Linked DNA regions of Danio rerio. The protein of the gene in region 1 purifies or fractionates together with the protein of each later gene. This does not show direct contact. Links are inferred from orthologs where the notes say so. Each region holds a gene or a part of one and is shown in the gene's direction. Other genes may lie near its edges.

What was found.
Region 2: the proteins of fam117bb (region 1) and dcaf7 purify together in Homo sapiens (affinity purification with mass spectrometry; 3 studies listed by BioGRID and IntAct, with this or other methods). This does not show direct contact. The link is inferred for Danio rerio from reciprocal best matches to the Homo sapiens genes FAM117B and DCAF7.

Annotation. Positions count from the first base shown.
Region 1 is NC_133184.1:13,326,940-13,334,914, forward strand, and holds part of fam117bb (protein FAM117B), read left to right. Parts: intron 1-3,076; coding exon 3,077-3,190; intron 3,191-5,660; exon of another isoform or gene 5,661-7,748; intron 7,749-7,975.
Region 2 is NC_133178.1:30,505,148-30,513,901, forward strand, and holds the start of dcaf7 (DDB1- and CUL4-associated factor 7), read left to right. Parts: upstream 1-3,092; 5' UTR 3,093-3,236; coding exon 3,237-3,374; intron 3,375-5,079; coding exon 5,080-5,238; intron 5,239-7,178; coding exon 7,179-7,290; intron 7,291-7,391; coding exon 7,392-7,510; intron 7,511-7,625; coding exon 7,626-7,835; intron 7,836-7,914; coding exon 7,915-8,032; intron 8,033-8,754. UniProt on the Homo sapiens protein: Involved in craniofacial development. Acts upstream of the EDN1 pathway and is required for formation of the upper jaw equivalent, the palatoquadrate. The activity required for EDN1 pathway function differs between the first and second arches.

The DNA of each region.
Region 1 (7,975 bases):
AAGACTAAAGGATTTCATCCACTGTAGCTGTGGTTAATAAAGATTACATAGTTATGTAACATTTCATTGGTAATAGCCTATTTCTAAAGCACAAGTGACCGCCTCGAGTGTAACTGAGACTTTAATTTGAACAACTTGTTCAAAAACACAGATTTGTTCAGTTAAGAAATATTGCTTCATTGCTCTGAGGTTTTCCTGTTAGTTTGTTCATGTTTGGCTATTCAAGTTGTTGGTAACTTTTGTGTTTTTTCCAGTTGAACATTAAATAATATTGTAAGCTGAAACCACTTTGATGATTCATAAAATGCAAATCAACTACAAGCACTTTAAGACAAATGGAAAACAAAATGAACATTCACGGATTTTGATGATGCATGGAGGTGTAATGAATCAAAACACTTGATCTGTGAAGAATCTGATTATTTACAACATTATTGTGTTTATTTCACACAAAAGGCAATCAGATCTGACTCAATTCACAACAATCTTTACCTGCAAGATTCTTTTCACATAATGACGCTCTTTAATTTCAAAATCTTTCATAAGCCAATATTTTTGATTATGATCTTACCAAAATGGCGACACGGTGGCTCAGTGATTAGTACGATCGCATCACAACAAGAAGGTTGCTAATTTGAGCTAGGCATGGGCCGGTATAAGATTCTGACTGTATGATTACTTTGGATAAAAATACCACGGTTTCACTGTATCATGGTATTATGATTACTGCTCTATAATATATTCTTTTTAAATCTGTGGGTAAAAACAGGGCTTCTGCAGGTTTCATCACATCAAATTAAAGACCTTTTAAGACCTTTATGAATGAAATTTCAGACTTTCACTTGGCAAAACACTAATAATTTTTTTTTTATTTGCCCGATTAAAATTAAAAGTTGGTTTTACAGTTTGGCCATAGCTTTACATGGACAATTAGTGAAAGACCTATTTAAAAGTATTTAAGACCCACAACAGCATATTTCAGTAAATTTAATACTTTTTAAGGGCTTTAAATTTAGTTTTTGAAATTGAGACATTAAGATTTTTTTAAAACACTGTGGACACACTGAAAAAACTAAAACTTTTTTTCCCCTTTGAACACAATATATTTTATTTTGAGAAACATTTATAATATTCTGGAACAGTAAACATGTCGGGCTAAATAATTAATATAAATCACTGACTTCTGCTATCGTCTGTAGTTTTAAATATTCAGATTTCTTTACAATTAAAAATGGCATCTTTGTACATTTTTTCTACTAAAGATACTTTTGCCCTAAAAAACACAAATAAAAAAAATCTTACACATAACTTAGGAACGGTATTACAGAACATTTTGTCAGTTTTAAAACCTTGACTTTTTCAAACCACAGTATAAATTGAAAACGGTTATTGTTCCATGCCTGGTTTGAGCCTGGTTTCGTCAGGGTGCTCCGGTTTCCCCCACAGTCCACCACAGTGGGGTATAGGTGAATTGAATAAACTTAATTGGCCGTAATGTGTGTAAATGTGAGAGCGTATGAAAGTTTTCTAGAACTAGGTTGCAGCTGGAAGGGCATCCTCTGTGTAAAACATGGATAAGTTGGCGGTTCATTCCGCTGTGGTGACCCCAGATTAATAAAGCGACTAACCTGAAAAGAAAATGAATGAATGAATCTTACACACAAATGTAATCCTACTTATTTATACTCCATAATTCAATTATAGAGAATTAAGCTCCCTCTTGGTGAGTTTGCACCCACAATACACATCAGGAAACTCATGCGTTCAAACTCAAAGTTCAGGACCATTTGCCATGGCTGTGTCTAATCGGAGGCCCCTCGTGTTATGAGATCTGTTTCAAGTGAAACAAAGCAAAGGCTTCTATTGTTTATTATAGGTGAACTGCCTATTCCAGCATAGACAAGATGGTAACCCAGAATGCACTGAAACATGCCCATTAAGAGTAAAAACCATGTAAAACCCTTAACCACATAAAGAAAAATATAGATTTTGTTATTTTAATTACTGGAAAAATTTAATTGTACAATTAAATTGCTCTATATTAATCAACTTCTACTTTAGCATAGCTTAGCATAAATCATTGAATCTGATTAGACCATTAGCACTTTTTTGTCATACCATGGCTGCAGCAGGTACAGGTACGCAGCACTGTTGCGTATTATCTGCTCCCGCCATGGTACAGCAGCAGAAGTTCATTGATTTTTACGCTTGAATGAGAGGAAAGTTCATATCCATATCACCAAGAAAATTGATCAAATATTTTTATTTTATTTTCTGTCTGCACTATATACAGAAGAGTCAAGCTTGTAAAGGACAATTGACTCTAAACTAAACGTTCTGTCATCATTTACTGGCCCTGCAGTGGTTTTAAACCTTTATGAGTGTCTTACTTCTGTTGAACACAAAAGATGATATTCTAAACAAAGCTGAAAACCTGTAACCATTGACATCCATAGTAGGAAAAACAGATACTATGGAAGTCAATGGTTACAGGTTTTCAGCTTTCTTTAGACTATCTTCCTTTGTGCAATAGAAAAACACAGAAATGTTTGTAACAAGTGAAGAGTAAAATGATAGCAGTCTTTTTTGTTTAGGGTGTACAATCCATTCATATTTGAGATTTATCGAAACATTTTTTTTTGCGAGATGTTGATGGTCTAATCTAATTCAATCATTTATGCTAAGCTAAGATAAGCTAAGCTAAAAGTGTGTCCAACAGACCTTGATGTTTATAAGGGAAAGAATATCGATCATAAATGTTTTTAAAAGGATGTGTTTGGGGTGAAGAGAAGGTTGGGGTGGTTATTTGTGTGTGTGTGGAATGTAATGCCAAAAAGACAATCAACAATCCCATCTGACCCTGGACTCTGACTCATCCACTGCTAGCATTCAATAAGACGTAACGTACAGTAATTATCATACTGTAATCTCTTTGTTATCACTACAAAGAGGTTTATTTTGAAATAATGACCATCTGAATGTACATTTTTAAAATCTTGTGCTGTTTTTATCTTTGAAAGTTGACTTGAAGTGAGGAATAATGTGTGTCCTGACAGTCTTTCTCTGCATGTTTCAGATTGTGAAGCTGAGGCAGCAGCTCCAGCGCAGTAAACACAGCAGTCGTCACCATCGCGACAAGGAACGCAAATCTCCCTTCAATGGCAACCATGCTGCTTTCAGCCAATCACAGGTGAGCTCTTTCTCACCTGCTCTCAGCTCAGCACAGGAACACTCACCACTGTTATTTGTCTTCTACTTTTTTCTTTCGTGGATTCAATTATTACATCTATAGCAGAGCCATTTCCTCCAGCACCCATTAGCTTGGGTCTATTTGTATTTTATTATTCAAAAGTTGTGGGTTTAGTTAGATTGTGGCTGCTATTTCTTAATCAAAAATAAGAGTAAAAACTTTCAACACAGGCTCATTCTGAAAACGTAGTCCTATATAAATTTGTGGAGATCGCAAATTATGTAGCCAGAAGTACGTATGGCTGCATTTCATTTTTAGAGCGAGCACAATGGGGCGGTATGACATCAGTCCTTTTTGCGCTTACCAGCTGACCTCTTACCTTCATGTGGACGGCTGTCCCGCTGTTACTAATTTGTCCAGTTAGCTCGCAATGTATGTCGGCGGTGCTGAGAGAAATTGACCACAATGACGGGGTTCAAGTCTGGTGAGGAACGGTTTCAGAAAGCAGGAAGGACAAAAACAGACACAAAAAATGTAAATAAACAAGTAAATAACAGGGTGAAAATGTGGTGAAATATAAAAATATGGTAAAAATCAAGCGAGGGATTTTCTTTTTCTGGATTGCTTTTTAAAACTGTCGGTTGGGTTGAGGGAAGGAGGAGTCAGTCAGTCAACAAAGGCCTCTGGTGGATTTACACGTGAACAGCAGTACACAGCGGGCTCTGATGGATTTACATGAAAATGCCAGTACACAGCAGCCTCTGGTGGATTCGTGAAAACAAAAACTGCATCAAAAACGTAGCTCCTGGGACATATTTGCCGCGCCTCACAAATGTATATAGGGGTACGTTTTCAGAATGAGCTTGGGTTAAAAACTTTTCTGTGTACTATTGTCCTTCAGAAAGCATTCTGTTATGTTTATTTGAACCTCAAGTAATTATTATTATTATATTATTATTGTATTCTAGTAATTTTAGTACTAATAAATGCTTTTAAAAGCATTGTTGCCCCATGTTTTTGTGGACATTTTATAGTGATTTTATTATAGGTTTTATTATATTTTTTTACTCTAGATTAAAATGGCTTATTTGAATTCTGCCGTAGTCATTCAGAATATGTGTGCTACCCAAATAATTGGTATTTGAGAACGGGGTTCTCAAGCCAGATGGTGTATTTGACCAGGGACTCATCTTCTATGTCCAAAATGCATCACAAACTGCTTGAGAAACTGTTCTACTATGATAATTAATGATGAAAATAAATGATGTTCAATAAGATGTACTTGTGTTTACTAACTCTTTATTCAATTAAACATTAATTTTGAACTTTAGGCCTACATAAGCTCCACACAGCGATTTCATACTTGCTTTTGATGTACGTACATACAGAAAATGCTGCTTCGCAAAGGCAAGTTCACAGAGCCCTGACGGTATGTCAAACACTGAGTATGGCTGAATATGCTTGAATATGATTAAAACAATACACAGATTAAGAGTTTACCATGTAAACATGTAAACTAAACAGAAATGGAATTAGGACATGTGGAGTATGCAGATATTAGTGGCTTTATTGAAGTAAACACCACGATCAAAAGATTACCGTCATGTAGGACTTTTAGCTATATTATCCGACAAGATTCACATAGGCGGATGTCAGTAAAGGACCACACAAACACACACAGAGATGCACAGGCGCACACACACACACACACACACACACACACATCGCGAAATGCAAAAGTTTTTTTCTTTCCATTTGGCCTGTGTTATTAAATGCCATAACACTCTCACCAGTCCTTACTCCTTATTTGCGTCTAATACCCCAGTTTGTCACGGGGGTATGAATGAAATGTCAGGAATCTTGCTAATTTGATTCAGAATGGCACTTTTTTGTCAGACAGCTCACCGGTCAGGTATACATACCGCTTTAAAATATGAAGGTGAAAGTCATCATAACTTGCAAAGAATAGACCCAGCTTCCAACCCCACTTTGAGAATAGATTAACGGCGATATTTTTTTTATTGCGCAATAAAAGTCTCGCGTTAATGCAGCATGTTAACAACGATAACAGCCCACCACTAGATTTTATATTTTATTATAATAGTTAAATCTATTATTTAAAAAAACATATTTTTTTAGAGATTATTTGATTACTCGAACATTTAAAGAAAAATAAACTTTTGCTCACTTTTTTGATTATTTAATATTCACCTTTGAGCCAAGCTTCAAATCTCATACTTTTGCACACTGTTATTTAATAAATTAGGGATTTTTTTTTTCTCTAGATTGTGGAAAATGGTTCCAGTAGGCCTACATTTTTTAATAAAAAGTAAATACATTTATATAATATGCTAATATCACTAAGAACCAATGAAATCCATTTTATTTTCCCAAATTATTATTATTTTGGTTTGAATTTCTCCTTTTAATATTTAAAATTTAATTTAAATCATCAAAAAGTATTTTTTTTTCTAATTAATTGAAGAAATTAAAATGAAATCATTTAAGTTTTGTATATTTGCAACATTTTACAGTGGCTTTTTATTTTTCTAAATTCCTTCTTATGCCTGCAAAAGTTTAAAAACAGAGCAGGAACTGTGTAATTATTACTTTATTTTGTTATTTTTATTATATAAAGTGTATTAATACTTAATGTTTTAATATTTTAAAAGCAATATTACTAAGATCATGATTATTACTACTTTTAAGAAGCAACTTCTCCTGTACAATAGTAATGGGCCTATATTTCTGCCACATAATCTTCAAGCAAAACCAAACTTTTACAAATGCGCCATGACATTCAGTTATACAGCTGATTCAATCTTAATGTCTCCATGCCACAATTCCACCCCAAATTTTCGGCATTGCAAAACCCAAAAAGCCTTCTGAAGTCAGACCACATGTCTGTACTGACTGAAAGTCCCCTCCAACTGATTCACAAGAGCGTCTGTTTGTTGACATAAGCATAACACAGTGCAGTGAGTGCAATTCATGCCATATAAGCAGAAATAGAATTACAAAACTTATGTATCGAAATCATTTTAGAAGCGCTCATCTCTTGGGTTTCCACACATTTTGAGCTTGTGGATTTCTCTGTCGCACTCGTTCTGAAAGCATGTGAGTGGCTAAGTGTGCATACCAGTGTGTGAAAGTGTGTGTGTGTGTGTGGGTCATAATTGGCAAGGCCAGGTGCAGGCTAGCAGGCTGTTTGAGAGTGAAAGAGCTCTCTTCACCAAGACAGAAACAGTGAATAAATTACTGCAGCCTCTCGCTTGGCCGTGTCTCCCTCCCTCCGTCTTTTTCTCGCTCTCTCATTGGGTTTTGTGTTTGTCCATGAATTAGTCCAGCATGTGGTGAATGTGCCGCACGCCTGATCTTCACTGTACTGTAGCTGCCAGCCAGTCAATTAAAGGCCACACTCTGTCCGGCCCGCTGGATGTGTGTTTTTTTGGGGCCCGTTGTGTGGCTGGGTCTTTTTTTTTTTTTAAAGTCCATGTGGCGGGCTCAAGCACCATCTGTCGTCTCACTGTATTCATCTTTTGTATTTAATCCTCTGAACTGTACTCAGACTAAGACTCAAACCTGCTGCTGCACAAAACACCAAACTATTCAAAGCTCCGTCTGATTTGGACCTGCATACAAATTTGGCCAGCACAGAAAGACACAGAAAAAAAATCCTGCTGAATATCTGTGTTCAGAATGGGGGACAGATGTACTATTGGACATTCAATGTACAGTTGAAGGCAAAATGATTAGTCGCCCTGTGAAATTTTCATAATTTTTATCAGATATATCCCAAGTGGTTTTTAAGAGGGCAATGTAAATTTCCACAGTATTTTGAAAACAATTACTTTTAAGGTCAATATTATTTGCCTCCTTAAAAATGATTGGCTACAGAACAAACCACTGTTGTCCGTTGACTTGCTTCGTTAACCTAATTAACCTAGTTAAGCCTTTATTTTGCAATTTACTGTAAGCTGAATACTACATCGTAAACTGCGCTTCACATTGTTTTTAGCTGAATCAAATGCACTTTTCTAGTCATTTCAACTTAAATCAGTCAAACTGACTTAAAATATTACGTTAAACTTTTTATAACTAAACAAAATTTACTTGAAACCTGATTAACTTATTAAAATACATCAAAGTAACGTAAAAGCATTTGTTGTCATGTTTTTATACAGTGTAGTATCTTGCAAAATAGCTATTAAAATATTATGCTCTGTTGTCATAGCAAAGACAAAATAAATTTGGTATTTGGAATTAGATATTAAACTAATATGTTTAAAAATGTGTTGAAAATCACACCAAAAACCTTCTTGCTGATGTGGCATTAGCAAACAGTCAAGCACTGGCACATGCGCCACCATTGTTGTGTGTTTGTTTGCGCTTGCACCCAAGTAGCAATGAAATTTGGCCCAGATTTTGCATAAAGCTGACATAGCAGGCGTTCATCCGGCACTGGAATACAGCAAGTGGGCCAAACATGACCTGGGTTTCGCAGAGGTGGTGCCATCTTTAAGGCTGCACAAAAGACTTTGGCGAGATATCAAATGTAGTATTTGGCTCAGATGATAAAAAAAATTATATGTGGGCCACATAAGTTTGGCCTATCTTGACCCACATTTAAAATATATCTTACCCAAGTAGCAAAGAATTCCGGCCAAGATTTGGCAAAAAGCTGATACAGCAGGCATTTTTCCGGCGCTGGCATACAGCATATGAGCCAAACATGGCCCGGGTTTCGCAGAGGTGGCACCATCCTTAGGGTTGCACAAAAGACCG
Region 2 (8,754 bases), on another chromosome or scaffold:
ACAATTTCTTTCTAAAGAAAAAAAAACACAGCATGAAAAACACAAATGTATAAAACATAAAGATGCATTATAGTATTGACAATAAAAATAATATAGGACCTAACTTTACATTTTCACGACTTTTCAACATTTGTGTCATTTTTTTCCTATATTAGGTTGCCAAAGATCTTGGAAAAAGAGTTTCTAATCTAAAAATGACAAATTGTTAAGTGAAAAAACTAAAATATTAAATACTATTTGAGTTTACATTTTGATTTTTAGCTCATTTAGTCTTGTAAGTTAATGTTACTATTAATATATTCAACACAAATTAGCTAGTTTTATGGCCTTTTAATACCCAAATGAAGCCATGGCTGACTAGTATATAGTATATCAGTCTTTGTACAGTATATTTCATTCTAAATTGAAAATGACCAAATATTAAGATAACAATTAAAATATATGAAAATATAAAAAAGTTTTTTAATTGTCTATTATTATTATTATAAAATAATAATTAAAGATAAAGATAACTTCATTACAACATCATGGCATAAATACACTTCAGGCCTGGTTTGAATTCATTTACACTACAACTGGCACTAATATAGCAATACTTCAATCTATTGTATGTAAAAAAAAAAAAAAAAAATCTGACAGCAGTTTATGCCAAGACAAGGAGTTACACGTAACTAGTAATATCAGTTAACAGCTATAACCGGCTGTCAAGTCATGCTCCACCTGTTACAAGGCCAGTCCTGGAATAAACTCTGGAATAACAAACCGCAAAGTTAATATTAAATGTTAACCCAGCTTAACCTCCAATCTCGGAAAACCTCGTCGTGCCAGCGCCACCTCGTCGTTAAACTAAAACTTTCACGCTGAACTGCTAGAGAACACACCGGACTGATATACAGTAATAGTCAAGTCTGATAAATTTAACAAATATTACATTTAACAGGTCCCAACCCGGGTTCCCCCATCCCCCATGAGCCCCGTAGACTGATAGCCGATTAGCTCACTAGCAACGGCCGCCACAAGAACAGCCGTAACGTTCAAACGACACGCGACATTTCTGCTGCACTGCGGCTGTGCGAACGTTTCAGATCACGGGTTTATTACAAAAAAGACCAAGGAATTTAAGAAGACCCACCTGTAACCGCCGGTGTTACCTTCAGTGTGTGACAGCAGCTGTACCCCTCACAGGAGAGGCAAGGGGGTCATCTGACCGAATCACTCTACCCACAATGCTTTGCGCGCGAGCCTTGACAACCAGGATAAGAAAAGGAAAAGATTCGGGCGTTTACGCCGCTCTAATAAATGATTCTTTTTTTTTTTTATTTAAACTGTAGCTGAAGTGTGGACTGTTAGATGTCGTGGTTAGTTATTAATGTTACACATATTATGTATAATATACAATATAAATATATAATATTGTGTATTAAATAATAACAACACCAATGTATGGAGGACCATACATGCAAAAACAATGAATAAATATGCAAACAAATAAAATAATAAATCCGCAAGTTCCTGCATAAACAAAACAATAAATAAATATGCAAATAAATAAATATGTATACTTTTTTTTATAAATAATTAAATATATTACACGGATATGTGGTAATAAGAAAATGCTAAACTGTAGATTTCCCCCCTTTCTCACCGCAATACTAATTATTTCTATATTTATTTATGCAGAAATCTGTAGAATTATCTATCTATATATATATATATATATATATATATATATATATATATATATATATATATATATATATATATATATATATATATATATATATATATATATATAATTTATTTATTGTTTTATTTATGCAGGAATTTGTATATTTATTCATTTATCTAAATATTTATTTATTTATTGTTTTATTTATGGAGGAATTTGTGCATTTATTTATAGTATTGTTATTATTACAATTTTATGGAGGGCGAAACCTACAAAAACAATAAATAAATAAATACGCAAATGTATAAATAAAGGAGTAAATAAATCCATAGATTTCTGCATAAATAAATATATAAATAGTTAATAGTGCAGGCAAGCAAATAATTAAATAAATTACAGGAGGGGAATATAAAAATGCTACACTGAAAGTTTTTTTCTAATAAACGTTTGAGAGAGGGGATGAATAAACTTTCAGTTTAGCATTTTCTTTTTTTCCCGTAATTTATATAATTATTTGCATGCTCGTTCTATTTAAATATTTATATATGCAAAAACAATTGTGGATTTTTTATATACATTTATTTATATTCGTATTATATATTATTTATATTCATTTATTAATTTGCAAATGTTGTTTATTTAATGTTTTATTTATGCAATAATTTATGGATTTATTTATTCATTTATTTATATATTTGCATATTAATTTATGTAATGTTTTATTTATGAAGAATTTATTTATTTATTTACTAATTTATTTATATATTTTATCATTTATGTTTGCATTTTAATCTATTTAGTGTTTTTGCAGGTTTCAAAGGTTCAAAGATAATTAGGACACTGAAATGTCTCAAATAAATTTAAAGTGAGAATGAAATATGTTTACAAGCATTTTTTTACATTATTTTTACTAATCACTTCTGTTTAAATCAGATTTCAGATTTTTATTCATATTTCTCTATTCTCTATTTGATATTCACTCTTATTTTACATTTTCATACTGCGATTAGTGTTTTTGCAGTTTAAAAAAAATCTTACACTTTGCTAATTTCCATGGCTGAAGGGAGCTAAAATTAATCAAAATTTCATAAACATTATGCCGCCCAGTATGATGCGCAAGTAAAATAATCAACTAGCAACATGGATCTATAAATAGCCTCAGCGCTCAACCCCCATTTTCTATCCGGGACTTTTATTTTGAAACGCAGACACACATCTTTCAGACCAAATGCGCCGTTGAGCGGTAGGGCCTATTTAGGGCTTTCTAAAGTTAGAATTAAAACCGTCGGGACTAAGGAAAAACATGGCCCTTTAGCTACACGCAGTTATGAATGTTTGATGGTTATTTGCGTGTTTTATTAGGCAGGAATCGTGCTGTTTTGTAGGCAGCTCGTCGTTTTCGCGGCCGTTGCGGAGAGGGATTGTTATGACGTTCTCTTTGTCTCGCGCTGCACAAACCCGAGACCATATTTATCTCTGTAAGAGCCTTTTTTAAACATCCCGTCGAATCAAGCTACTCCTAACGACCTAATTCTCTCTAGCTGTCGCCGATCACTGGGATTGAAGCATGTCGTTGCACGGTAAACGAAAAGAGATCTACAAATACGAGGCGCCATGGACCGTCTATGCTATGAACTGGAGCGTCAGACCCGACAAGCGCTTTCGGCTCGCGCTCGGCAGCTTCGTCGAGGAGTACAACAACAAGGTAAACACCTGCTGCCACACAACACTATGCTTTATGTCTGATCTTATGACACACGCTATCATTTCACATAGTGAAGTGTGTAGCCTAAAAACATGTAAGGTGCAGGTTATTCCACAGTGTTGGAATTTTAACGCGCAAATGTATGACAGACACTAATAATTGTATATTTTAAGCGACTGTTATTTTGTATCTTGTATTTAGCGTGTGCGAATTAAAGGTTACGAATAGGTTCGTAGAGGACAAAATGTCTGTCTAAAATTCATAATAGAAGTATATCTAGGGCTTTCAAAACCCTTTCACTGACAGATTTTTCTGTACCACCCGCACCAGTCCTGATGATAATTGTCAGAAAATGCAATAATTTTAGACATTTCATTTAATCATTACCACTGTTTTTTTGTTGTTGTTTTTTTGTGGGAAAATAAATATAGACTCTTTTTTTATCATCAGTCCCATGTCAGTGACCAGAAGAATTCATTTAAATACAGCCATTTTATTGTGCTTTATCACATAAAAAAATCTACCACTCACATGTACACTTCACAGCATATACTTACAAACACTATTCATCCCTCCACACACGTAGTTATGAATACATAATATTATATAAATATCATATCGAATCACAATATTATATAATATAAATAACAATGATAAGCACTGGACTTTTTTACTCTATATTGATCTAAGAGCCAATCACACAGCAGAAATGTGCCACAATGGGAATCTGAAAGTTTGATGATATTAGAGCTGTACCATTTTTTCGGCTACTGAAATCGCTGTGCGATTAATCGAATTGCAATTCGAAACGTTGCAACAAGTTAATCGCAAGAGGCTGCGATATGAAGTATTATTTAGCTTCCCCCGCTGAAACTGTCGTAGTAGCTTGACAGTCTTACTAGCCAATTGAGTGAGCACACTTTCATTCTGCCTAAACAGAATTGCACAACCAAACTATGCCGAAAACCCTCAATAAAAAGGAAACAAACAGCAAAATGCAGGAAGGTGGGAATATGGCATCTGCAACTGAAGTATTAATAGAAGAATTCATATCAAAGAAAAACAGCATGTCGTGATATGGGAATATTTTAGTTTCAGTCACAGACACGGAACAAACACAGGTCATTTTGAAGAGATGTCGCAGAGTTGTTGCCACAACTTACAAATTATTGAGCTGAATCTTGACTACAAAATTAAATCAAAAATAAAATCGCAATGTCTGTCAAAAAAATTGCAATTGGGTATTTTCCCCAAATCGCACAACTCTAACTGAAAATTTATCAGCTGAAAATATGTTATGCCATTTAATGGACCCTCTAATATTTTGTGGCTTCAGTCATTGTTGGGGTACTCTTTTAAATCTGGAAGCATTATCAACTTGTATCGTAAAATATATATTGTCATCGTTTAATATTGAAAATAACTATTGAGGTTGCATTTGTGCCATATCGTCCAGCCCTAATTTAATCAGCAGTCTTCAAAGCAGAAAATGGAAGGTAAATATATTTGGTTTTTTTTAGATATTTGCTCCACAGGTAACCGAAAAACACATTTTTGGCACAACATATGGTGCTTGCAGTCACAACCAAAAATGATCACAAAAATAAAGTGGGAAAATATATAATTGTCTATAAAAATGAAAAAGGTGCTACTTTCATGCTGTCAGAAACTTATGACATCATGCTATTTGTTTTGTGATGTTCAGGTCCAGCTGGTTGGTCTTGAGGAGGAGAGCTCAGAGTTTGTATGCAGAAACACTTTTGATCATCCGTACCCCACCACCAAGATCATGTGGATCCCAGACACCAAAGGCGTCTATCCAGACCTACTGGCAACCAGTGGAGACTATCTGCGCATATGGAGGGTATGCAGGAGGAGCACGTGCACAGTTTCTGAAGTGCCCCTATTATGCAATATTAAAGTTTGCTCTTTTTGTTTTGGAGGTCTTCTATAATAAGTTCATCCTAGATCAAGAATACACCTGTCATGTCATAATATGCAAAGCAGTATTTTGTCTTACATGAAGCACCTGAATCAGTCTGTTCAAAGATTCAATCTCTCTAAACCCCTTCTTTCCAAGAGTCTACCTTGTTCTGATTAGTCAAATGGCTTATTCTGTTTACAACAGTGTACTTTTGAATTTAAATCATATATGACCATATCTGAATTTCAGCTCTTGTATACACACTGATAAAACAATAGTGTCAGTTCTACCATATCCCTTGCAAATTCCTAGTTTTTTTTTTTTTGGAAGTGATTGCATAGTGGATCAAGTCTTCTCAACATGGCTGCAGCACAAACTAAACTGTTCCAGGCCTCATACTACAGCTTTAAAGGGTCCGAGTAAACTGAGTGTTTGTTGACACTTAATGAAGACTGTAGGCTGGCGTTATGTTAATCTCTTACAAGCCAGTGGAGCTTTGTTCAGGATATATCAGGGATTACTGTTGTTCACGATAAGACCAGGAATGTGTATTAAGAGATAAATGGAGTCAATTATGATTTGATTCCAGCTTGAAACAATCAGGCATACTTTAGCTTTAAAGATGCCATATAAGGAAAACCTAGATATACATGGCCATAGCTGAATAAAAAGTGTCCAGTACATGGAAATGATATATCATGAGCCTCAAACACCATTTGTTTCAAATAAACTTTTTCACATCTTCATTTGAAAATATTGAACAAGAATCCAGACAACCGGTTTAATTTAAGGTTCCCACTTTTACATTCATCAGTTAAACATAACATTTCAAAAGTTATGCGCATCTTGGCGTTTCCATCAACTGATTTTTTTTATGCGCATATGCAAAAAGCATACAAATAGGTAGGTGGAAATGTAAGGCTAAGGTGAGAAATACAGCTTTGTCTTTAAAAAAAGGGTAGAAGACCGACAGAAACTCAAAGTTTAGAGAATAAATCAGCTCCTGACCAGGTTAGGTTCACAGAGTCAGTTACCGTGGTAACTTACTCTGAGTTAAAGTTACCTCTCTTTCAAAAACTGGCTTGACTTACCTTGCTTTCTCCAGCTTGACAAGCTTGCCATTTTGAAATTGAAAACACAGAGTTTCTCTCATTTCAGGGTTAATACTCTGAGTTTTTTCTTAACCTCCTTTCTGAAACGGGCCCCAGGTTATGACGAGCTGCTGCGTTATTATTCTCGACCATTCCAAATATGGTCAAAAACATGGTTGTCGTTCTAGGGATATTTTCTAGAGTTATAATTAAGCCTATTATAAAAAGGTAAAACTTACCTAAGCCTCATAGCTACTAGTGTTGTCAAAATATTGATACATTAATACTGAAACAATTCAAATGTTACAATCTTTCTTTTTGCTTAGTATCGATATTGGCTTTGCTTTCTTGCACTCTCTACTCACCAGCAGGGAGATGAACAATTAATAATAATATTAAGGTTTTAACACTAGTTTTAATCAGAAAATAAGCTGAGATTGCACTAATTTAGTTTCTTTTTTGTAATTTATTGAATTTTGGACTTAAGGACTGCTGACATACCTGGTATGAGCATTATATGGTAATTATTTCCCCCTTTTTACTTCATTTGAAAACCTTTAATGTAAAAGAATTTTTTCCATGTGAATGGCATCAAATATTGATATTTTTTTAAGATATTGTATCGAAGTTGGAAATTCCAGTATCGTGACAACACTAATAGCTACTATATCGATTTCAAAGAACAATTTAACTTCTTTGCAATCTATGGCACCTTTAATACTGTGACCATGAAACTCATTGTGCATGAATGAAGTAAGTGAACTGGATGTATGTTGTTGTTGTTGTCAGGTGAATGATACAGAGACCCGTCTGGAGTGTCTGCTGAATAATAATAAGAACTCTGATTTCTGTGCACCCCTCACCTCATTTGACTGGAATGAAGTGGACCCCAACCTCCTGGGTAAGGGTTTTGGGAAGAATTTAGTTTTGTGCATTTGTATGTTTGCCTTCAGTTTCAAAGCCCATCAGTTTGTCAATGTATGTTTATTTTCTGTTTTTCAGGGACATCTAGTATTGACACCACTTGTACAATCTGGGGTCTAGAGACAGGACAGGTCCTGGGAAGAGTCAACCTAGTGTCGGGTCACGTCAAAACACAGCTAATTGCTCACGACAAGGAGGTTAGGAACAACTCGAGCCAGTACTTCATGTTCTCATTTCAGATTGATGTCATTCTGCAACTTCTGCAACTCTCTCTCTCTCCCATTTAAATCCTGCTTTTCTATTGGCTCTCAGGTGTATGACATCGCATTCAGCCGTGCGGGTGGAGGTCGGGATATGTTTGCGTCAGTAGGAGCGGATGGGTCTGTGCGTATGTTTGATTTGCGACACCTGGAGCACAGCACCATCATCTATGAGGACCCTCAACACCACCCACTGCTGCGCCTCTGCTGGAACAAACAGGACCCTAACTACTTGGCCACCATGGCAATGGATGGCATGGAGGTTTGTTTTTCTTTTTCTTCAGCAAGATGTCTGTAGTCTTCTTGTTGTTTACTATATAATGTTGTTGTACTGTTGTCAGGTGGTGATTCTAGATGTGCGTGTGCCGTGTACACCAGTCGCTCGACTCAATAATCACCGTGCCTGTGTGAATGGCATCGCTTGGGCACCTCATTCCTCCTGCCACATATGTACAGCAGGTTAGAAACCAACCCGGACACACACACACACACACACACACACACACATTCCAAGTCCTGGAATATCAGGGATTTTTGTTTGTTTGTTTTAAATTCTACTTTCCGTTTATCAAAATGTCATTCTACTCCACCATGTTTTTTATCTTAATGTTTTGTTTTTTGCCTATTGTCATGTTGACTTTTTTTTTTTTTTTTTTTTTTTTTCCATTTGCCAACTGAATTTATTTTTCAGTGCCATTCTATCCAATTTCGTTTTCAAACAGCAAGCGCTTAAGTCAGATTTAGTCACCAGGTTATAGCTGTTAACCAATTAGTGTATCAACCAATGAAAGGAAAGTTGGCGTTTCAGCACCGCCTTCATTTGTATAATTAATTTTGAAGTCGTTTATCCATTTTCCTACCCTAAATTTAAAAAATGAAAATTGAGCCAAAATCTCGTTTTTTCGTTTCTTGTGACCAAATGAAAAACGGAAAAACGGCCGTTTTCTTCATTTTCCTTCTTTTGTTTGAAAACGGATATGGATTGGACGGAAGATACCCTGATTTTAACCAGAGGGTCTTTTCTATTGTGTGGTTTAGTTCCATGTGGCTTAAGTTTTGGGGGCTTTTTCACTTCGTTCTGTATTTAGTACCTCATAATTTTTTTTAATCGTTTACATATTTATTTTCATTTTTTTGACGTACAAACAAAAAATTGAGTAGTGGAATGGGCTTTCTTTTTA